Linked DNA regions of Sus scrofa. The protein of the gene in region 1 purifies or fractionates together with the protein of each later gene. This does not show direct contact. Links are inferred from orthologs where the notes say so. Each region holds a gene or a part of one and is shown in the gene's direction. Other genes may lie near its edges. The genes, in order: NCBP2, KPNA1, PHAX, KPNA2 and KPNA3.

What was found.
Region 2: the proteins of NCBP2 (region 1) and KPNA1 purify together in Homo sapiens (affinity purification with mass spectrometry; 3 studies listed by BioGRID and IntAct, with this or other methods). This does not show direct contact. The link is inferred for Sus scrofa from reciprocal best matches to the Homo sapiens genes NCBP2 and KPNA1.
Region 3: the proteins of NCBP2 (region 1) and PHAX purify together in Homo sapiens (affinity purification with mass spectrometry; 5 studies listed by BioGRID and IntAct, with this or other methods). This does not show direct contact. The link is inferred for Sus scrofa from reciprocal best matches to the Homo sapiens genes NCBP2 and PHAX.
Region 4: the proteins of NCBP2 (region 1) and KPNA2 purify together in Homo sapiens (affinity purification with mass spectrometry; 4 studies listed by BioGRID and IntAct, with this or other methods). This does not show direct contact. The link is inferred for Sus scrofa from reciprocal best matches to the Homo sapiens genes NCBP2 and KPNA2.
Region 5: the proteins of NCBP2 (region 1) and KPNA3 purify together in Homo sapiens (co-immunoprecipitation; 3 studies listed by BioGRID and IntAct, with this or other methods). This does not show direct contact. The link is inferred for Sus scrofa from reciprocal best matches to the Homo sapiens genes NCBP2 and KPNA3.

What each region holds. Positions count from the first base shown.
Region 1 is NC_010455.5:133,183,119-133,187,698, forward strand, and holds part of NCBP2 (nuclear cap-binding protein subunit 2), read left to right. Parts: coding exon 1-38; intron 39-3,281; coding exon 3,282-3,463; intron 3,464-4,580. UniProt on the Homo sapiens protein: Component of the cap-binding complex (CBC), which binds co-transcriptionally to the 5' cap of pre-mRNAs and is involved in various processes such as pre-mRNA splicing, translation regulation, nonsense-mediated mRNA decay, RNA-mediated gene silencing (RNAi) by microRNAs (miRNAs) and mRNA export.
Region 2 is NC_010455.5:138,082,334-138,086,913, forward strand, and holds part of KPNA1 (importin subunit alpha-5), read left to right. Parts: intron 1-371; coding exon 372-460; intron 461-797; coding exon 798-897; intron 898-1,690; coding exon 1,691-1,854; intron 1,855-3,325; coding exon 3,326-3,404; intron 3,405-4,580. UniProt on the Homo sapiens protein: Functions in nuclear protein import as an adapter protein for nuclear receptor KPNB1. Binds specifically and directly to substrates containing either a simple or bipartite NLS motif.
Region 3 is NC_010444.4:129,716,226-129,720,805, forward strand, and holds part of PHAX (phosphorylated adapter RNA export protein), read left to right. Parts: intron 1-3,051; coding exon 3,052-3,172; intron 3,173-4,580. UniProt on the Homo sapiens protein: A phosphoprotein adapter involved in the XPO1-mediated U snRNA export from the nucleus.
Region 4 is NC_010454.4:14,292,752-14,297,989, forward strand, and holds the end of KPNA2 (importin subunit alpha-1), read left to right. Parts: coding exon 1-152; intron 153-2,325; coding exon 2,326-2,475; intron 2,476-3,648; coding exon 3,649-3,741; 3' UTR 3,742-3,998; downstream 3,999-5,238.
Region 5 is NC_010453.5:18,010,159-18,014,738, forward strand, and holds part of KPNA3 (importin subunit alpha-3), read left to right. Parts: intron 1-1,563; coding exon 1,564-1,650; intron 1,651-2,015; coding exon 2,016-2,185; intron 2,186-4,503; coding exon 4,504-4,548; intron 4,549-4,580. UniProt on the Homo sapiens protein: Functions in nuclear protein import as an adapter protein for nuclear receptor KPNB1. Binds specifically and directly to substrates containing either a simple or bipartite NLS motif.

The sequences.
Region 1 (4,580 bases):
ACGTCGAACTGAGCCAGTACCGGGACCAGCACTTCCGGGTGAGTGAAGCTGGGCCGCGAGAAGGGGAGGTCCCGGGCCAGAATGCTGAGAATTGGCTTGCTTTTGTCTCTTTGTGTCGTCTCCCATTCTCGCTAAGCCGGGCCTCGGTGCCTACTGGGGAGTGGATGCTGAAAGGGCGTTTGGTTATCACCAAATCCCTTTCTCTCCTAGGAGGGGAATTTGAAACTCCCTTTTACATCCCCTGGTAGCTGCTCCCTGTTCCCCGGCCGATGCAGATGGGCGGCTGTAGTAGCGGTAGCTCACATTTTCACAAACTGTGACTTTGCGATGAGGGGAAGGGGTATTCTTTTGATATGTGGAGCGTGTGAAGGCACCTTCTTGACTGAGATACCGGGGCTTTTAATTATTTACCTTAAATTAGATCAGCCTAACTGTGCTTTGGTGTTTCGCATCCATTCCCTTGGGCAGTAAAACGGCCTCACAGAGTTGTACCTGGTGGGTGGGAGACAGAGTTGAGCCTTGCCTCCACCTTTAGGGAGCCCTCCGAGTGGACCATCATGTTAGGTGTCTGATTGTCAAGATTAGAGAACTGCTGAGGGAAATTTTCGGTTGGCCCACATCATAGCAGATTCTGTGGGAAGGGGGAGGCTGCGGGTTTTTAAGGTGAGGTCTTCAGTATCAAAAAAGGTGGGGGTGGGGTGAAGGCGCCACTTATTAACTGTTGGTTATTTGAAAAGTTTATATTGTACTGTTGCTGAAGCCTTTTGCTAAACTCTGGAGGGAGAGGGAAGAGTTTCCACACCCTAAGAGTTCATAATCCTCTAGGGTTTATAGGATTGTAAATGGAAGGACGGTGGAAGTGTAGGGATTTACAGTGGAGGCAGGTAGTCTAGAGCAGAAATGATGAATGGAAAGAGAGGGGCTGTGAGAATTCAGAAAATTCTCCTGTGACTGGGAAAGGAGTGGGCACATAAAGAAGAGGGTAGGTGTGGAGAATGTTTAAAATGTGTTAGTAGGCTAGGGAAACAGGAAATTTGAGGCCAATATCATACCTTAAATAAGTACTTACACTACAGCTATCTTAATTTAAATAAGTACACTACAGTTGTCTTAATTGTAGGCTCTATGTTGGGATACTACTTATATGAAAAGAAAGGAATATGCCTCTTGATCATAATTTTAACAAGTCGGTAATATAAAGTAGTAATATAAATTATTTAATTCTCATTTCAAAGTCCTGAAAAAACCTATTTTTAACATAGAATGATTCCTGTCAACTTTTTAAGGAAATAGGGTATTGAAGACTGGGTTTGGATTCCAGCTACAACTACTGATGAGCTGTGTGACTTGGACAAGTTACTTAGCTCTTTCCTCATGCAGAATGAGAATAGTAAATTAGGACCTACCTCATTCAGCTCTGAGAAGTAAATGAGACTTCATACATGGCAATCTGACCTGTAGTCTCTTGATTCTCCCTAGAGGCAAACGTATTACCTGTCTCTTATGTATGGTAGCTGGGTACATTTATACTTCTAAGAAATATAACTCAGAGCATGTCCTTCACATTGTTCTGTGCCTCCCCCCCCCACTTTGCTCCCTATCTTGGAGATGCTCTGTATCATTGCAGTAGAAATACATTTTTCTAGGGGTTGTATAGTTTTATACTTATTGATGTACCACAATCTTTCATCATTTTCCTTTTGACATGAGTTTAGATGGTTCCTGTTTTTGGTCTACCACTGAATGGGATCACCGAATGAGATTACTCTGAGTCTTGTGCTAAAAGCGTTCAGAGATGGATGCAAAATCTTTTTTTTTTTTTTTTTTTTTCTTTTTAGGGCCATACCTGCCGCATATGGAGGTTCCCAGGCTAGGCGTCGAGTTGGAGCTACAGGTGCTGGCCTACACCACAGGCCACAGCAACTCAGGACACAAGCCTTGTCTGCGACCTATACCTCTACTCACAGCAAAGCTGGATCCTTAACCTGCTGAGTGAGGCTAGGGATCGAACCCACAACCTCATGGTTACTAGTTGGATTGTTTCCACCACGCCACAACGGGAACTCTGCAAAATCTTATTTTCAGAGTAAAGGAAACTGGATTATCATTATATATGGAATAATAAGGGGAGCCTCTTGGGAAAGTGCTGTGGGGCAAAGAGTGTGGATCTACTTAGCTACTTTCCAAGCTAGAATATAGTTGATGTATAGTTGATGATTGAGCCCTAACCTGGATCAGAGGGGCCTGAGAGCAGGTCAGCTGGTAGACCTTCTATTTTTTTTTTTTTTTTTGTCTTTTTGCTATTTCTTTGGGCCGCTTCCGCGGCATATGGAGGTTCCCAGGCTAGGGGTCCAATCGGAGCTGTAGCCACCAGCCTACGCCAGAGCCACAGCAACGCAGGATCCGAGCCGCGTCTGCAACCTACACCATAGCTCACGGCAACGCCAAATCGTTAACCCACTGAGCAAGGGCAGGGACCGAACCCGCAACCTCATGGTTCCTAGTCGGATTCGTTAACCACTGCGCCACGACGGGAACTCCTAGACCTCCTATTTAATCAGCCTTTGTCCTCCCCATTGTGGAGGCTAGAAGAGAAGGTCTAAGGACAGCCATACTTACTGACTTTTGTGACGGTAGGTAAGATACTGTGTCTAGCCCATGCTAAGCCATTTTGTCCCCAAGGATTGTCAGACACAGGACAGGATTGTTACACACCTGTCCTTGGCTTCATCCTGTCTTCCAAATTAGGAAGCCTGTCAAGATAGTAAGATCTGTTGTTTTTGGTGATCACTACATTTTCTCCTAAATGCAAAAAATATATAAGAGCATGTAAATCATCCAGTCAGTTGTTGCTCTGAACATTCTCTATAGGAGTATATAGGGAATACCCTATCTCTAACCATTTATTTTTCACTAAAGAAAATAAAAAGGTCATTTCTAGTATATTGGTTCAAGGTCCTGAAATTAAACTTGGGCCATTAGAGAAGGATCCAGTGCTGAGAATATGGAGAATGCAGGCAAAAATCATACCACTTGTGTTGGAGAAGGAGGGCTGTATATAACCTTAAGCTGTGGCCCTCTACTAAAAGCAGTCTGGGCCTTGCAAAAGTTCTTCTTAGAATCTAACACCCTTGGCAAGGGATGATTGAGAGTTGGGATGATTAAGAAAAACTGATTTCCAAATCAGAATTAATGACAGTTTTCCCATACTTAGGAATTCTACTTAAGCACGGCTCTCCTTAGATTGTGTTACTTAGCTTTTTCTCCATTTGAATTTCTAGGGTGACAATGAAGAACAGGAGAAGTTACTGAAGAAAAGCTGTACATTGTATGTTGGAAATCTTTCCTTTTATACAACTGAAGAACAAATCTATGAACTCTTCAGCAAAAGTGGTGACATAAAGAAAATCATCATGGGCCTGGATAAAATGAAGAAAACAGCGTGTGGGTTTTGCTTTGTGGAGTATCCTTCCTGTGTGTCTATAGATGGCGGCCAGCAGTGGGCCCGAGTGTAGCAGTGTAGCGGGTTACATAAGTGAGAATATTCACTAATTAGCATCTGACACTTATCTCTACCTCTCCTTCCTTCATCTACTCTTACCTCCAGTGTATCTGTATTCTTATATTAGGAAAGCTGGTAACATTTATATTCTGTTCTGAAATCCATGCTTTGTTTGTAGTTGATTAAGTCTTTTTTTTGCTTTTTGCTTTCTAGGGCTGCACTTGTGGCTTTTGGAAGTTCTCAGGCTAGGGGTAGAATTGGAGATACAGCTGCTGGCCTATGCCACAGCCACAGCAATGCCAAATCAAGCTGTATCTGCAGCCTATACCATAGTTCACATGGCAACACCAGATCCTTTAATTCACTGAGTGAGGCCTGGGATCAAACCTCCATCCTCTTGGACACCCAGGTTTGTTACCACTGAGCCACAAGGGGAACTCCTGATGTTTTTGTTTTTTTTAATTAATATTTCCTTTTTGGGTCATTTTGTTTGAGAAATTTCCCAGACCTGATCTAACATGTCTTTTGAATTTTCTGTGCCTTGAATTGTTTGTTTGGTGTTTTGTTTTTGTCTGTTTTATCTTTTTAGGGCTACACCTGTAGCACATGGAAATATGGAAGTTCCTGAGCTGGGGTCAAATCAGAGCTGTAGCTGCCTGGCCTACGCCATAGCAGCACAGGATCCAAGCAGGTCTGTGACCTACTCCATAGCTCACATCAATGCCGGATCCTTAACCCACTGATCCGAACTGGTGTCCTCATGAATTCTAGTCAGGTTTGTTATCACTGAGCTGCAGGGAAATGGGAATCCTGGAAGAGGGACGTCGAGGTATAACAACCACAAGGCTCTTACATTTAGAAAGTGGGGGACCACGAGGCTAGTGTTCGCAGAACAAAGCAAAGGCACCTAGGCTTTAGCCCACATCTTTTTATTAAAGAAGGTGATGAAATTATTATTGATGGGATTAATGAATGTGACAAGATTAGTGGGCAGGGACAGCAATGGCTGAGGTTATCTAATTTGTAATATCAAAAGGGGATATCCTTAGGACATAATGTAGCTGTTTATAGAATAACA
Region 2 (4,580 bases), about 4.9 Mb from region 1:
TCGATTGCTCTTAAATTCTTGGTTCACTGTTTTTTTTAATAAGCAAGCTTAAGATACATTTTTAATCAGCTGAGTAAGCCATTTAAATCTGTTAAGTTCCAAGAGCTGTATGGAATGTTACTTAAGGATGGGGTCCTCTAAGATAAAAGAATATGTGTAACAACTCGTACCTCCTTTTAATAAGTTTACTTTCATGAGTGTTCACATGTATACTTTATAATATTACTGATCTTTTTCCACCAATACAACTGTTTCATTTGACGAGTGAACTTAGGGATATTAATAGATAATGTCCATGAATAATATATGTTGATTAACTACTATATGAGAAAAACTCTGCAGCCTGACATTAATGAATAATTCTTTCACAGGCAGTCTGGGCCCTTGGCAACATTGCTGGAGATAGTACCATGTGCAGGGACTATGTCTTAGACTGCAATATTCTTCCTCCTCTTTTGCAGTAAGTCTCTTTCTTTTTATTTTTTATGAGTAATAAAAATAAGAGAAGTTCCTGAAAAAGCAGAACATCGTTGGAAATCACTTTGAATTTCCTAGTGTTACTTTTCATTATAGATATTTTCTTATGAACTTGTTTGGATCAGCCATCAGGCATCCTGTTATTCCAGTGCCAGAATTCTGAGTTCCTTGTGTTAGAATTAATTAAACTTTATTGTTCTGGAGAAGAGCTATTTGAAGACATCTGTTTATCAATAGCATTAAATGATAGATATTTGTATTATGCCATTAGATAATTCATTTCCATTATATCATTTACTATTGTATCATCATACTTACAGATTATTTTCAAAGCAAAACCGCCTGACCATGACCCGGAATGCAGTATGGGCTTTGTCTAATCTCTGTAGAGGGAAAAGTCCACCTCCAGAATTTGCAAAGGTAGGGATTATGCTTATGAGAAATAATTTTTGATAAAATTTAAAATGTTAGAATTTTATTTCTAAAAAAAGTTTTTTTTGTTGCATGTTTTAATTTGGAATAAATTTTCACTGCCTCTAAAAAAAGTTCTGAATTAATCTTAAAATCTGGCATTTTTTTCTTCATAACAAAGTAGCTAAAATGCAGAATTTCCTAGCTTTAGCCCTTATGAAAATTCCTCTACCTCTGGTTCACAAAGAGTGTGTTTTGACAAGGAGTCTCACTCTGAGAACTGGTATATATAAAACTTGCTCTTTAAAATTATTTTCCTTGGAGTTCCTGTCATGGCTCAGTGGTAACAAACCCGACAAGTGTCCATGAGAACACAGGTCTGATCCCTGGTCTCGCTCAGTGGGTTAAGGATCTGGTGTTGCCCTGAGTTGTGGTATAGGTCACAGGTGCAGCTCGGATCCCTTGCTGTGGCTGTGGCGTAGGCCGGCAGCTACGGCTCTGATTCAACCCCTAGCCTAGAAACTTCAATATGCTACAGGTCTGGCCCTAAAAAGACAACCCCCCCCAAAAAAATTGTTTTCCTTGGGCTCTGATCACCTCATCAAAGTAAATTGCAAGGTCATTGACAGCACTCCCAAAGATGGAAATGTCACTTGGCCACTTATTACTCCCATTTCCAGAAGTACTAAAAAGTCATCCCCAAAATCACCAGGTGTGTGCCAGGTTGCCTTCTGGAGTTTCCCACCTCACTTCTTGCTTTTAGTCTGTTGAATTCCATAACCATATCATCTTCCCTTTACAGGTTTCCCCCTGTCTGAATGTGCTTTCCTGGTTGCTCTTTGTCAGTGACACTGATGTATTGGCTGATGCCTGCTGGGCTCTGTCTTATCTATCAGATGGGCCCAATGATAAAATTCAAGCAGTCATTGATGCAGGAGTATGTAGGAGACTGGTGGAACTGCTGATGTAAGAAATCTTTAAGAAATTGTATCTGTTCTTTTGTCTCTCATATTAATTTCCTAGTTAATGATACTCAAATGTTAATATGTTATGCTGACTTAATGTGCTTTGGGCTGCTGTCTTATTTGTTTATATTCATGTTAAATGATGTCTGATTGCTTTGAGGGTTATAAAGAACCTTTTACTCTTCTGCTATTTAGCAGCCCTTCAGTAGAAACATTTTGAAAACTCTGGTCTATATTTCTAGCTAATGCTTAAAGACCTGAGTCCAACCACTGAATAACCAAAGGCTTGTTGCCATTAAAAACAGTAATTCCTTATCTTTTGTCTCATTTAGAGCTAAACTTAGACTGGTATCAGACTTTGAATTTTATTTTGCTGTATCTCTTTGTGATGCCTTTCATTTATGAAGTGGAAGATTTACTGATGGCATAAATAATTTGAGACTGTATTAGTCAAATTTTTAGGAAATACTATAGAAGAAAAAATTACAGTGGTAACGTAATAGGGATGTGGTACAATTGCAAGCCATGTCTCATTTAATTAAGTACTAAGTAGATGCAAGAAAGCATTGCCCCAAAGATGATGTGTGGAATGGATTAGGTAGTATAATATACAGAATATAAAACTCTGGGACTACAGCTGGGCACAGAGTGGGTACAGATTAATGATATAATGCTGTTGTGAATTAAAAGCAGTGTGGTACTGGAGGAGTCAGAAGTATAGCATTCACAATTGGAGAAGTAATCTTATGTCCTCTTCTGTCATTAGATACCATATATTTTAACCATTTTATTTTTAGTCATCAGTTCTTAAATGTGAAGAAACTGGCAGTTTTGAGAAGAGTTATCAATCTCCTTAAAGGGGATAGAAGATTTTTAAGGAAATTTAAAAGATAGTAACTTATTTAGCCTGAAATCAAAACCTGATGTCTCTCTTCAGATGTATAAAAGATTTGTGGAGGAGTTTTTCAGACCAGTAAGTCAGTTGAGGTTTAGTAGCAAGTTCACTGCTCAAAGTGTATGAAGCCTGGCTTTCGTTTTCAAGTTAGTTCAACTGTTGCCATATTTTTTATTTCTGTGAAAATTGTGATTTTTGAAACTAAAGTTCTATATAAATGTTAACTATTGTTTTCAATTATCTCATCAACTGTAGAGTCCAAGTAAAGAGGAAATGAAAACCTACATTAAAGAATGAGAGGGAAAGCTTGAAATCTAAATGATAGAATACCTGGGAAAGATTATTGGGACAGTTTTGTAGTTTTTACCCAAAAATACTAAGTAAAGGGAAAGACAGCCTTTCCTAGGGATATAAAGAACATTTCATCATCATGATAGTGTTCCCTTAATAACCACCATAAGTACCTTTCTGCTCCAAGATTCTAATGGATTTCTTTATTATTATTATTATTTCTTTTGGATTTCAACCCTAAGGAAAAGAAACTATAGAACTATAATGTTTCTTTTTATAATTACAGGCATAATGATTATAAAGTCGTTTCTCCTGCTTTGCGGGCTGTGGGAAACATTGTCACAGGCGATGATATTCAGACACAGGTAGGAATAAACAGTAACTTTTTTTTCTCTTTAGAAATAAGTAGTGCATTGGCTCCCATGATTATATTTCTGTTATAGTATTTAATTCCATATTATTGGAGGGAATCGATACTTTGTTTCATTCATGTTTGTTTAAAATGTTGGTTTAAGCAGTTACTTTCAGTACTTTCACTGTGTTTGTCTTGACCTGTTGCTTGTAGCACTTTTGGGTTCCCCTATGGTCCCATTTGGGTTCCACTATTGTGTTCATTTTGGTTAGGTTTGTTTCTCACTACTTCTACCTTTAAGTGGTTCTTGTGAGCATCAGAAGTCTCTAGTAGCATCCTTTCATGCCAGCTTCATCTCATCTTCCCTGAAAGTTTCCTCCTTTTTTTTTGCGTATGTGGGGAGGATCTTCCCTATTTGTTCTCAATGTCACCCTCTACTCCATTCAACATTTATGTCAAGATACATCACTCACAATGGATTGTTCTAGCTCTTTTTCTTCCTTATCTCTCAGATACATTGGCATCATCTTTTAAAATGATTTTCCTAGGCTTCTGTGGTGTTGAAATATTTTGGGTCACTTGCCTCAATGACCATTTATTTCTCCTTAGTAAGCTCCTTTTATTCATTCTTTTCTGTTTATGGGATTATCCCATGGAAAGGGTTAGGTTTTAATCTTTCAGTGCTTTTCTTTCTTTCTTTCTTTTTTTTTTTTTTTTTGTCTTTTGTCTTTTTAGGACTATACCTGCGGCATATGGAAGTTTCCAGGCTAGGGGTCCAGTCAGAGCTGTAGCTGCTGGCCTGTGCTACAACCACAGCAACACAAGATCTGAGCCACGTCTACAACCTATATTACAACTCATGGCAATGCTGGATCCTTAACCCACTGAGCGAGGCCAGGTATCGAACCTGCATCCTCACGGATACAGTCGAGTTTGTTACTGCTGAGCCACGATGGGAACACCCTCTTTAGTGCTTTCTTAACCAGCTAATAGCTTTTGGGCAAGAAAGACATTTAATGTCTTCACTTTTCTAATCTCTAAAATTAAGGGGACTGAATTTGTTCTCAGGTGTCTTCCAACTCTTAGTATTTACTTTAAATTTATTCTGTCCACAAGGGAACTCATTGTTTTTCTGGCGTATCTGGACCTCTGCTTATTTACGTTCCTCTCTCATTGAATGGCACCAATA
Region 3 (4,580 bases), on another chromosome or scaffold:
TTAAATTTGGACAGACCTGATAGAATAATTTTGCAGGTTTTTATAAACTTTTTGGCAACTTTTTCCACTTAGTGCAATAGAACTCTTTGAGTAAGACACGTCTCTCTTTTTTTTTTTTTGCCCTGCCTTTGTCCTATGCCAGTTCCCAGGGCAGGGATCTTTAATGCCTCCTCCACCGGGGGAACGCCCAAAAATGCATCACTGATTTTAAATCAGTGAGGATGTTGGAGTGTTATCAAGCATTCATGACTTTTTTTTAAAAAAAAACAACTTCATTGAGGAATATTATAGATAATTGAGTTGTAGCCTCTCTTCCTTCTGGTGTCTGCTCCCCTTGTGGCTGAAGTTGGTGGGGGGCAGGGCTTGCTGTAGGCTTCCTGATGGGAGGGACTGATGCCGCCCACTGGTAGGTGGAGCTGATTCCTATCCCTCCGGTGGGTGGGGCTTTGTCTCTGGGTGGATTAGAGGCGGCTGTGTGCTGGGGGGGTCTTTAGGCAGCCCGTTTACTGATGGGCGGGGCTTTGATCCCACCGGGATTGTTGTTTGCTCTGGGACTTCTCAGTGCTGATGGGTGGGGCCAGATTTTCCCAAAATGGCCACCTCCAGAGAAAGGCAAGTTGCTGAATATTCCCGAGAGCTTTGCTTCCAGTGCCCTTCCCCCACAACAAACCACATTCACCCGTGTTTTCCCAGGAGGTCCTCCAAGAACTGCAGTCAGGTTAGACCCAGATTCCCGTGGAGACTTTGCTTTGCCCTGGGACCCAGTGCACGTGGAAGTCTGTGTGCGCCTTTTAAGAGTGGGGTCTCTGTTTCCCCCAGTCCCGTGGAGCTCCTGCGCACAAGCCCCACTGGCCTTCAATGCCAGATGCTCCAGGGGCTATTTCTCCCTGTGCCAGATCCCCACACGTGAGGGTTTGATGTGGGGCTCAGAACTCTCACTCCTGTAGGTGAGTCTCTGTGAAACAGTTACTTTCCAGTCTGTGGGGCTTCCCACCCGGGAGGTATGGGGTTGCTTATATCGTGTAATCGCCCCTCCTGCCTCTTGATGTGGCCTCCTCTTTGTCTCCTGGAGTAGGATATCTTTTTGAAAGTTTCCAGTCCGTTTGGTTGAAGATTGCTCAGTATTTGGTTGTAAATTTTGTTGTTTTTAGAAGAGAAGTTGTGTTCCAGTCCTTCTGTTCTGCCGTCTTAATCCTGTCTCCCCATCTGAGGCATATTACGGTACTTCTGATAAAATTCACCTATTTCAAGTGTTGATTTTTCAGTAATTTTACCAGTTGTACAACCATTACCATAAAGCATTTGAAAACATCTCCATTACCTGCTAAGATCCCTTATACTTATGAGCCCATTTAAAATTAGTTCCTGTTCCCATTCCCACATATCTGCTAATCTACTTTCTGTTGCTATCTATCAGTTTGCATTTTTCAGAAATTTCATGTTAATGGAATCACAGTGTCATCTCTTGTGCCTACCTGATTTCACTTAGTGCAGTGTTTTTGAAATTCGTCCATGTTATAGCAGGAATCAACAGTTTATTTGTGTGCGCATACACCCACACATCCATATTGGCTATTGAACTTTTTGGTAATCATAAATAATGTTGTTAGGAACTTTCATGTACTCATGTATGGATATATATGTTCATTTCTTTTGGCTAAATAGGAGTATAGTTGTTTGATGTGTGGTAAATTTACATTTCATGTATTTTTAAAAGTTGAAATTTTGTTTACTTTTGGGGGGGCACTCCCCACATCATGTGGAAGTTCCCAGGCCAGGGATTGAACCCTTGCCACAGCAGCTACCCGAACGACTGCAGTGACAACGCCAGATCCGTAATCCACTGCGCTGCTAGGAGAACTCCTAGTGCTGGCTTTTTATAGTACTGAGAGAGTTTGGAATTTGAATGCTGGAAAGGAACTTAGAGATTTTGTAAACCAAAGCCTTCACCTTTTTTTTTTTTTTTTTTTGGCTTTATTTAGGGCCACACCTGTGGCATAGGAGGTTCCCAGGCTAGCGATCTAATCGGTGCTACAGCTGCCGGCCTACACCACGGCTCACGGCAACGCCGGTTGGTTAACCCACTGATCAAGGCCAGGGATCAAACCGGAAACCTCATAGTTCCTAGTCGGATTCGTTTGTGCTGCACCACGACGGGAACTCCAAAAGCCTTCACTTTACAAATACAAAACTGAGGCCCAGTAGTTGTGTGGTTGCTCAAAGTCACAAATTTAGTAAGTGTCAGACCTGGAACTAAACTCTAGTCCCTTTGTTCCTAGTCTAGTGCTCTTTCCACAATAGCAAAGAAACAAAAGAAGCCATGGCTGGTTAGGACTGATTAGGGAACCGTTAAGACTTCAGTAATTTTAATCCTCCCTCATCTCTATGGAATATGGGCTCTAGTGCTTACTTAGGGTCCTTGTGTTTTTTACCTCTCATTGCTAAAATGAAAATAGTATCTGCTTTGTAAGGTTCTTGAGAGAATTAGCTGAGATGTAATGCATATATATAGTTCCTAGGATTGTGCTTATCCCATAATAAGCCTTTGGTAAATGTTAACTATATCATTTGTTTTAAGGCAGGGAGGCTGTGAGAGACAAATCCAATCCATTTTAAAGATCCAGGTCATCTCTGCAGTTAGGAGAGCTAACTTCTAGGCATAATAATCAAAAGCGTGATATGATCGAAAGCGTTTGTTATTTGTTGTGATGCGAGTGGACTGCTTATATCTTGCTTTTCGTCTCGTATTCCCCTTGCTGTGTGTGCATGTTTCTTTTGAAATCTGCCATAATCCAATAAGGCAAAGTGAAGAGGCCAGTTATCGGACCTGAGATGGAACCTTGAGGCTCCTCTTTTCTTGGGTGACCCAAGACAGGAATGTTTCTGTATCAGTAATTCCAGGGTTAAATAGTGAAGATTTTGAAAAGCAGCCATTACGAGATTGGAATGTTAATTCTAGCTGGGAACTAAATAGGAGACTAAAGTAGATGTCCTCAACTTTATACAACAAGTAACATAGTTAATATTATTACTTCATTTGCTCCTTAACAGGTTGCAGGAACCAAAGAAAGATTTGATCGCCCGAGTAGTGAGGATAATTGGGAACAAAAAGGCGATTGAACTTCTGATGGAGACTGCTGAAGTTGAACAAAATGGTGGCCTTTTTATAATGGTAAGACTAATTGCTTCGTTGTTTCTGATTTTGTATTATTTCGTATCTTTTTTTAATAAAATGCACTTGTCTCTATTGGGTCTCTTATTTATAAATTATTGCAGTTTTTTTCGGGTTTTTTAAAAACTTCATTAATAATGAAAAATTTGAGTTTAAAAATTCAGTAGTCAGTTTTTGCAGTTAATGCTTTCCTTACAAAAACATGCATATATTGTAGCCTGTTAGTGTGCAGTCAGCAACAAATCTCTCACAGGATGCATTAAGGGTAGGGGTTGAAATTTTAAGAAAAAAGTGGTGGGTGGGGGGGTGAGACCTGGAAGCTCAAATTTTGAGAATATGGCGTTTGGAGTTTGGGGTGTCTTGTTTTGAATTTTGGATGTGCAGATTACTAGATGTGACATTTGGCTAAATTAGTTGACTTCTCAGAACTCAGTCTCAGCTACAAAATGGGATTGTTCTTCTATTGTAAGGATTTAATGAGATAATGTATATAAAGTACGTATCACAGTGCCCAGAAGTTAATTAGCAGTGATGAATAAAAACGTTATTTTTGGTTCATTTAATTCATGAATTCTTGAAAACTGGTTCTTGGGGGCAGAAAAAAAATCTTGCTATGTAAAAAGCACAGATAGTTTTTTGTTTTGTTTTGTTTTGTTTGCTTTTTAGGGCAGCACCTGTAGCACATGGAGATTCCCAGGCTAGGGGTTGAATCAGAGCTACAGCTGTCAGCCTACATACACCACAGCCACAGCAACACAGGATGCAAGCCATGTCTGCAACCTGCACCACATCTCATGGCAACACCAGATCCTTAACCCACTGAGCAAGGCCAGGGATCAAACCCGTATCCTCATAGGTCCTAGTCGGGTTCGTTAACCGCAGAGCCAGGAAGGGAGCTCTATGTGCAGACAGATATAAAGTATAATAAGACCAGTGAGATAATGGAAATCTACTGAATGTTGGGAAGATACAAGTCTGATTTTACTTTCTTTTGGTGCAGTTTTTCCTTATACAGTTATTTATTGCTATGTACGATGCAGTGTTCTAGACACAGGAAGCTTATGTTGTAGTTGGGTGTGAGAGGGGAATAGTCCATAAAGAATAAATGTTGTATCTTCAGGAGTGCTAAAAAGTGACAGATGCTGGGAGGAAAGAAAGCGAGCAAATGAAAGTATAGCGAGTAGAGGAGGACACTGCAGTTAAACTGGGGGTGGTCACAGTAGATCCTAATAGCTCCTTGGGGAAGACTCTAAAAGTTGCTTTGGCAGTTCCCTTGTGGCTCAGTGGGTTAAGGACCTGTCATCGTCACTGCTGTGGTTCTGGTTACAAATGAAGCTCAGTTTCCATCCCTGGCCCAGGGAACCTCCACATGCTGTGGATGTAACCAAAAAATAAAAATAAATTGTTA
Region 4 (5,238 bases), on another chromosome or scaffold:
GGGCTGTGACCAATTACACAAGTGGTGGAACAGTTGAACAGATCGTGTACCTTGTCCACTGTGGCATAATAGAACCATTGATGAACCTCTTAACTGCAAAAGATACCAAAATTATCCTGGTTATTCTGGATGCCATTTCTAATATCTTTCAGGTAAGTTGCCTTTTTTTTTTTTTTGGCCACACCCTTGGCATGCAGAAATTCACAGGTCAGGGATCAAAGCTTAGCCTCAAAAGTGATGACACTAGAGGTTTGGTGGGTTTTTTTTGTTTTTTGGTCTTTTTTTAGGGCCGCACCGGTGGCATATGGAGGTTCTTAGGCTAGGGGTCGAATTGGAGCTGTAGCTGCCAGCCTCCATCACAGCTCATGGCAACGCCAGATCCTTAATCCACTGAGCGAGGCCAGGGATCAAACCTTTGTCCTCATGGATGTTAATCAGGTTCGTTTCCGCTGAGCCATGGTGGGAATTCCCTGGTTTACTATTTAGATGATGGCAAGGTGGGGGTGGAGGCAGCTAAATTTCCTGAGTGGGCCACAGAATCAGAAAGCCTCTTCATATGAGCCACACTCTTGATAAAATAAGACCTGGCAAGGATTATAAGAGATATAAAAGGAATGACAAATGCATGATGTGACTGAATTGAGGTCAGGTACATATGTGGACACGATTCATATCTGTTTATTTTGTCAAGATGTCTTAATCCCCCAGTTTTTGTTTTTTGGTTTTTTTTTTTGGTCTTTTGTCTTTTTAGGGCCGCACTGGCAGCATATGGAGGTTGCCACGCTGGGGGTCGAATCAGAGCTGTAGCCACTGGCCTACACCAGAGCCACAGCAACATCAGATCCAAGCTGCGTCTGCGACCTACAACACAGCTCACAGCAACGCCAGATCTTTAACCCACTGAGTGAGGCCAGGGATTGAACCCAAAACCTTATGGTTCCTAGTCAGATTTGTTTTCTGCTGTGCCATGACAGGAACTCCTGATTCCCCAATTTCATACTGTAATTCAGTATGAAATTAAATTTGACCAACCAGGAGTTCCTGTCGTGGCTTGGTGGTTAACGAATCCAACTGGGAACCACGAGGTTGCGGGTTTGATCCTTGGCTCGCTCAGTGGGCTAAGGATCCATCGTTGCCATGAACTGTGGTGTAGGTCACAGACGCGGCTCGGATCCTGCGTTGCTGTGGCTCTGGTGTAGGCTGGCGGCTACAGCTCCTATTAGACCCCTAGCCTGGGAATCTCCATATGCTGCAGGTGCAGCCCTAGAAAAGGCAAAAAGAAAAAAAAAAATTCGAACGACCCGGTCAGTTATATTTTTCTTCTGGTTTCAAGCCCTGAGTGATCCACATGTGCTGGCACATGGCACTTTGTCAGTATTTAATGGTGGTTAGGTCTTACTCAACAACTTTGATTATGGAAATTTTCACATATCAAAGTTGAGTTTAGAATATGATTACCTAACATAAATAAGTCGGCAACATTTGGCTTCTTTTCCTACTCACACTTACCTTAAGTTTTTATTTTGAAGCAAATACGTTATTTTACTTGTAAATATTTATGTATGTCCTAAAAGTTGAGGACTTTGAAAAGTATCTGACCACCGTACCATTCTCTTGGTATCAACAAATGATCCAGTCAGAGGAATTTGTTTTTACAAACCACAGGCCATCTTTACCCTTGGACAGTGATTCTCCACTCTTACTACATACACCTTGGGATTATCTGGAGTCTTTACAAAACAGTAATTTCCTATTCCCATCACAGGCCAACTGAACCTGGATATAGTGTCATTTTTAAAGTTGCCTGGGTGATTTTGATGTACAGAAAAGGTTAAGAACTATACTAAGATCTTTGTGGCTGAAAGCTACAGAAGTAGTTGCTAAGAAGCAAAATCTGATTCGCTTGAATTTTTCAAAAATATAAAACATAGGTAAAATGCAGATAGTTCTCTCTCATAGGGTTGTTAAATAAACTCACGTGTTTATTTCTGTCTGATACACATGGACACTAAAACATAGAAATTGTTTTCTTCATTAAAATAGAACTTTCAGGGAGTTCCCGTCATGGCACAGTGGAAATGAATCCAACTAGGAATCATGAGGTTTGGGGTTCGATCCCTGGCCTTGCTCAGTGGGTTAAGGATCTGGTGTTGCTGTGGCTGTGGTGTAGGCCGGCGGCTACAGCTCCATTAGACCCCTAGCCTGGGAACCTCCATGTGCTGCAGTTGCGGCCTTATAAAGACAAAAAGACCAAAAAAAAAAAAAAAAAAAAAAAAAAAAAAGGTCTTTCAAAGTGTAGGCTACTAAACTTGGAATTTTTTGCAGGCTGCTGAGAAACTAGGTGAAACTGAGAAACTTAGTATAATGATTGAAGAATGTGGAGGTCTGGACAAAATTGAAGCTCTCCAAAACCATGAAAATGAGTCTGTGTACAAAGCTTCATTAAACTTGATTGAGAAGTATTTCTCTGTGGAGGTGAGTAGCAATGTCAATAAGAACTGGAAAAATACACATTTAAGGTTAAGCCCATAAGATATTTTTCCTCATACTTTTTAGATGAGCGCTGTTCAGTATAGCAGTATATCATATCAGTCTCAAGTGGGGTATAACATACATATTTGTTCATCTCATGTTTGACTTGAAGATAATACCATCTTTTTAAACTGAGGTATTAAAAAGTCACCCATTTACTTTCAAATGAATAGCCTTAGAGAGCTTAGACTATCTTGAGAGTGAGTTTGTATAGACGTTAGAGAAGTGAGCCTCTGGCCTAATAAGCTGCCTTCTGAAGTGACAGGTTAAGAAAATCTCTGCTTTTCTGTTGCCGTAGTAGCATTTCTTAACCTGTTCATAACTTCCCTCCCAGGCACTCATGAGTTGGCAAGTTTCAGAGCTTTCCATCCACTCTTTCAGATATTGAAAATATGGCGCAGGATTACAAAAGACAAAACAAAGGGGGGAGTTCCCATCTTGGTGCAGTGGAAATGAATCCGACTAGGAACCATGAGGTTTCAGATTCAATCCCTGACCTCACCCAGTGGGTTAAGGATCTGGTGTTGCCGTGAGCTGTGGTGTAGGTCAGAGACGCAGCTCAGATCTGACATTGCTATGGCTCTGGCGTAGGCTGCTGGCAACAACTCCGATTAGACCTCTAGCCTGGGAACCTCCATATGCCGAGGGTGCAGCCCTAAAAAGACAAGAGACGGAAAAAAAAAAAGATACAATGCAGGATTAAAGGTGAAATATGCAAATGAGGACCTTAGGAGTGAATACCTAGTAGGTATTTATGCTAAGTGAAATGAGTTAGACAAATACCACCAGGTGATCTCTCTTATATGTGTGATGTTAAAAACACACACACGGAGTTCCCCTGTGGCTAAGCAGGTTAAGGATCCTCTATTGGTGCTTCTGTGGTGCAGGTTCTATCCCTGGCCCAGGAACTTCCAAATGCTGCAGTCATTGCCATGGCCAAAAAGAAACATGCACACAAGAACAGATTTGTGGTTGCCAAAAGTGGGGGTGGGAGACATGGGTAAACTGGTTTTCGTTTTCAGCTTAGAGATAAAAGAAGAAAAAAGAGTAAATACAAACTTGTAGGCATCTGCCTCTTAGAAACATTTTATATTGTTTTGTTTTTAAATACTCCAGGAAGAGGAAGATCAAAATGTTGTGCCAGAAACTACCTCTGAAGGATATACATTCCAAGTTCAGGACAGCGCTACTGGGACCTTCAACTTTTAGACTGCACATCTGAGGCATAAAGTTGTTTGTTGCGTACTATGTTTGATAAAAGTTGGTCTTACTGTTTCTCTACTAAGAGCTCTTTTTAAATGTGGTTTGTTATTGTAGCACTTTTTACAACTGAAACTATACTTGAACAGTTCCAAACTGTACATACTGTATGAAGCTTCTACTCTCAGTAGGGTTCTTATTTCTATGTGGAATTTCATATCTTGCAGTGTCCTGTAAATAAAGATTAAATTCCACCCTTTTCTTTACTTTGCATTTCCTATGTGTTGCTTTCTAGTTTGGGGCTCCTAAAGGTTATAGATGAGGGGGAACTGAACCATGACTACCAAAGATGTTCTGGTTGCAGACATCATTTTGTCATGTCATCAAGGATATGGGCTTGATAACTTCCTGCCCACTTTTGATTCTGCTTTGTTTTTTTTTTATGGAACGCTTCACGAATTTGCGTGTCATCCTTGCGCAGGGGCCATGCTAATCTCTGTATCTTTCCCATTTTAGTATATGTGCTGCCGAAGCGAGCACTGATTGATTCTGCTTTGTTCTAAACTGCTTCCCCTTTTGGTTGGTAAAAATGGCCAATGGCGCTTTCAGACTTCACATCCATTTCACACCTATCAATTTTTTCAGAAGTTTTCACTGGAGAACGAGTAAAATTTCCCAGAAACCCTCAGCCAGTGTCTCCATAAGTCTTACTGGCCAGGAAGATGGGATAAAAATCTTAAATTTCATCTTCATTTTTTCCTGGAGCTACAAGTGCAATTCATTCCTCCCAAACTTCAAGGCTGAAAGTGGTTTCAAGGCTGCACGTTGGCATCACCTGGGAAAGTTTAGTCGGGAAGGAGTGGGATTCAAGTCCTGTAGGTTCTGTTTTTTAATTTCATCCCTGTCTGTGCCGTCTGGGTTGCGAAAGCCACTTGCTGCTCGGAAGAGGTAGCTGTGCCATTAGCAGAAGTGGCAGGGGGAGGGTGGAGTATTGACTCCAGCGCCCCAGGAAACCAACTGCATTTTTAACGTACTGTAAGCCTCTGCTTTTTTGATGAGCGGAGAAGTGATGAGCCAAGTCTTCACTGCTCTGTTTCCCCCACAGAAGGTAAAAGCTGTGGTGGCAGAGGTGGGGATTTGGGCTGAAGACTCAAGGTGAAAGTAATTTATGACTGTAAGGGCTACTGTATTCAGAAAAATGAGAGAGTTCCTTCAAGTCAGTTGTACGATGCACTGAATTTCCACTTACCTCTCTCAGTGGGTGTAGTGGTAAGCGAACTTAGCCCAGTTCGTTCACAGACAAAAGTACATTTTGCTCTTTGTAGATAACAGGCTTTTAAAGTTCCTTCCACAAATAGTGCTCATCTTGTTTGTTTACAGAAATAGAGAATATGTTGGCTAATGCTTGTTTAAAGCACCTCTCACAGCCAAGTTCCTAATGAACCCTGTTACAGGTGTTCCTCCTAGAAATTCGGGGCACCTTGTTTGGAGCGCTGGTCATTTTCT
Region 5 (4,580 bases), on another chromosome or scaffold:
GTTCCTAAGTGCTGAGTAGCTTACCACTTATGAAATAGCAGTAAGTTTCATTGAATCAGGTAGTAAGAATCTCTTTCTTTCACTTTTGTTTCAGATATTTCAGTAATGTCAAAGAAAAGGTTTCTAGGTAGATGTTAGTTGTAAAAGAAAGGGAACAGATTTTAGACTAAGGCTTTCAATAGAGACTAGTAGGTACCATTAAATAACAATATTTTGTTTTCATTTTTAATTTTTTGGTTATTTTCCTTGTGTGGTAATTGATACTGGTATTCTGTTACAGAAGTGATGACTAAAATTAGTTAAAATACAAATATTAGTCGATTCAAACCTTCATACATTGCTGGTGGGAATGTAAAATAGTTCAGCCTTTTTAGAAAACAGTTTATCAAATGGTTAATCATAGAGTTACCACATGACCCCAGCAGTTCCCCTACTATGTGAAACTAAGAAATCTGAAAGCAGGTCCATATAAAGACTTGTACAGAAATGTTTTCAGCAGCATTACTCATCATAGCCCCCAAATGGAAATAACCCCAGTGTCCATTAGCTGATGAGTAGTAAACAAAATGTGATATACCATAGAATACTACTCAGCAATAAAAAAGAACAAAATGTGATATGCGCCATAATGTAGATGAACTGCAAAATCATTATTCCAAGCGAAAGAATCCAAACTACGTCTTATAAAATTTCATTAATATGAAATGTCCAGAATAGAAAAATCTATAGAGGCAGAAAGAGTAAGTGGTTGCCTAGAACTGGGGGAGAGAGTCTTAGGACTATTGTGGGTATGGGATTTCTTGGGGCAGGGGTGGTGTGATGGAAATGTTGTAAAATTAGATTGTGGTGATGACTACACAACCCTGTATAAATACTAAAAATCATTAAATTATACACTTAAAACAGACATTGTATTGCATGTAAATTATATCTCAGTAAAGCTATTAAAATGAGTCTATTTTAATTTAAACATTAAATAATACAGGTAGTATAGAGATAAACAGCTAAAAGTCCTACAGGTAGTATACAGTTGACTCAAATTTAAGAAAATTTAAGAAAAAGTGATCTAACTTTTTCTTAATTTCATATCTGAAGTGAGTACGATACCAATGTTTTGGAATTTGAATTAACATGTAAGTTATGTAAAGACTAAGTATTATAATGATAAGTTGTCTTGATACATAAAGTAGGCTTGATGTGGGAATACTCAGTTCTTTATAGTTAGTCCCCTATCAGCAATAGGGATCACACTGACTAGAAGTATTATATTCTAAGATTACATGTTCAGGATAGAAACTTTTTTTTAATATGTTATAAGAAAAATTTCATGCTGCTGTTTTCTTTTAATTAATACTATCATAGTAACTTTTAGACCCTCTCAATAGGTCTATTACTTGAATATTATTAGGGGAAATATAGAATTTATTTAGGATAAAGGTATTTGCCATGTTTATTCATTCAGTGAATTATAATTGGGCAGCTGTGGTGTGCCAAACTCTGCTGAAATCTATAAACTCTTCAACATTTTGCCGTATAAATAAGAGGTTTTTTTTTTTATTGTAGATGCCGTACCTCTTTTTCTAAGACTTCTTCATTCACCGCATCAGAATGTTTGTGAACAAGCAGTATGGGCTTTGGGAAATATTATAGGTAAGTTGCATTTAGGTTTGAAAAGACTCCACTTAAGTATCTTAATTAACTTTTTTCCTACATTGGCATAGCCATTACACACTATGTTTCCTCTAATTTTAACGTGGGTTGACTATCTTCTTGCCTCATTAATACTAACTTCAGATGGTACCTCTTTGAAATGGATATGAAATTTGCTATCAGGATTGGTAGGTTAAATTTGTGTTCCCCAAATCAAAATCTGGCGGAACAGCAGTGCTTGATGCCCTTGACTAATGGTGAGGAAACATAGAACATCAGTGTCCCGACATGAGCCATTGCATACATTTCAGACTTTCTCATCCTGAATGTAATTTTTTTTTTAAATACAATTTTCATTTCTGTAGGTGATGGTCCTCAATGTAGAGATTATGTCATATCACTGGGAGTTGTCAAACCTCTTCTGTCCTTCATCAATCCCTCCATTCCCATCACCTTCCTTCGGAACGTCACATGGGTCATTGTCAATCTCTGCAGGAATAAGGACCCCCCACCGCCTATGGAGACAGTTCAGGAGGTAAATGAAGAATTGCAAAGGCCAGATGGTATATTTTCCCTATGTTTATGCTTTAGATTTTCATGCACAGGAAATGAAATAATGCAAACACTGATTCCATTGCAGGTATGAGATTTTTTAAAGTAACGTGTCACACTTAACTTTTGCCTCCTGTGAAATACAAGTTGAGACTTGTGGCACCCGAATAAATGTCAGTCCACCCTAATTCAGGAAAACATAAAAAAATTCAAGCAGAAAAATGCCAAAGAAAATAAAATGTCAACATTTTATTGCTACATTGCATTGTTTTGTTGTTGTTGGCTTTTTTTTTTTCTTTTTCTTTTCTTTTTTAGGGCTGCAGGTGCAGCATATGGAAGTTCCCAGGCTAGGGGTCGAATCAGCTGTAGGTGCTGGCCACAGCCACATCTGCAACCTACACCACGGCTCATAGATCCTTGAGCCACTGAGCGAGGCCAGGGATCAAACCCACATCCTCATGGATACCAGTCAGATTTGTTACCACTGCACCACAACAGGAACGCCACACTGTTGATTTTTAACACTAAAAAAAACAAGGGATTGCTACAGATAAAATGATGAACTTAAATGTTCATGAGTGAGTTTGCCTGAAGTCCAATTGAAATTTCCCTTGATTCCTGACAAAATTAGTGCTCGTGATGTGTGACCTGCTTTGTGTTAAATATACGGATTAAAACAAAATAAAATCTTTTCTATTTACACCTGATTTGTAAATGGATCTAAGTATGTTAAGTTTCAAAAAATCCTGTATAGCCTTTAATCGCTTGACTGTAGAGAATGTTGATTATGAATCTTTAATCTTTTTTTTTTTTTTTTTGGTCTTTTGTCCTTTTAGGGCCATACCCGTGACATATGGAGGGTTCCCAGGCTAGGGGTCCAATCAGAGCGTTACTGCTGACCTGCACCACAGCCACAGCAACGCCAGATGTGAGCCGAGTCTGTGACCTACACCACAGCTCACGGCGATGCCGGATCCTTAACCCACTGAGCAAGGCCAGAGATTGAACATACAAGCTCATGCTTCCTAGTCGGATTCATTTCCACTGCACCACAATGGGAACTTCTGAATCTTTCATCTTTATCGTTTTGACATCTTTTGCCTTCTTGGGCCACCTTTTGCCTTTAAGGGAAGGGTACTTAGTAATTCCTTCCAGTTCCACCCCACCCCCACCCCCCAGATTTAAAGAAAGATCTGTAATGCCTGAATTCAGCAAACTTTATACTGGTCATAATTTTCTTGACTAAATCTGAGGTCTGAAACTTTAATTTGACTCACGTAGCGTCTTAAGATCTTATTTTTAGGAGTTCCCGTTGTGGCTCAGTGGTTAATGAATCCGACTAGGAACCATGAGGTTGCAGGTTCGATCCCTGGTCTTGCTCAGTGGGTTAAGGAGGATCCGGCGTTGCCGCCGTGAGCTGTGGTGTAGGTCGCAGACATGGCTTGGATCTCGCATTGCTGTGGCTCTGGTGTAGGCCGGTGGCTATAGCTCCGATTCAACCCCTAGCCTGGGAACCTCCATATGCCACGGGAGTGGCCCAAAAAAAATGGCAAAAAGACAAAAAAAAAAAAAGATCTTATTTTTACTTTATGCAGGTAAGTGAGACATTGACAGCAGTTTTAAGAATAGCTTTTTAGGAGTTCCCGTCGTGGCGCAGTGGTTAACGAATCCGACTAGGAACCATGAGGTTGCGGGTTCGATCCCTGCCCTTGCTCAGTGGGTTAACAATCTGGCGTTGCCGTGAGTTGTGGTGTAGGTTGCAGACGCGGCTTGGATCCCGAGTTGCTGTGGCTCTGGCGTAGGCCGGTGGCTACAGCTCCGATTCAATCCCTAGCCTAGGAACCTCCTTATGCCGCGGGAGCGGCCCAAGAAATAGCAACAACAACAACAACAACAAAAAAGACAAAAATAAAAATAAATAAATAAATAAATAAAATTAGAAAGAATTAAAAAAAAAAAAAGAATAGCTTTTTAAAAATAGCTGTGCGTATAGTTACATTTTCATTCTTTCCAGTTGGCGTATTTCATATAGAAGATTATTGAAAACAATTATTTTTCCTCTAAGAGACATTAATCTCTGCCAGATTTTAATTAGACATCTGAAATTTGGTTTTGGTTTTTCAGATTGAATTTAGCAGATTTTTATTTTCCCAATAGAGATTCACACAAATTTAATGTTGTTTTTCTTGCCCTGCAAATAATATTTATTGCTTAAAAAAAAAAACAAAAACCACTGTTATTCAGTTTTACAAAGACATCTTCATCAACTCTAGTTGTTACTTGTCTATCTTCTTTCCTCAGATTTTACCAGCATTATGTGTCCTCATATACCATACGGACATAAATGTAAGTAAAGCAGAAGCTTAGATTTGAGATTT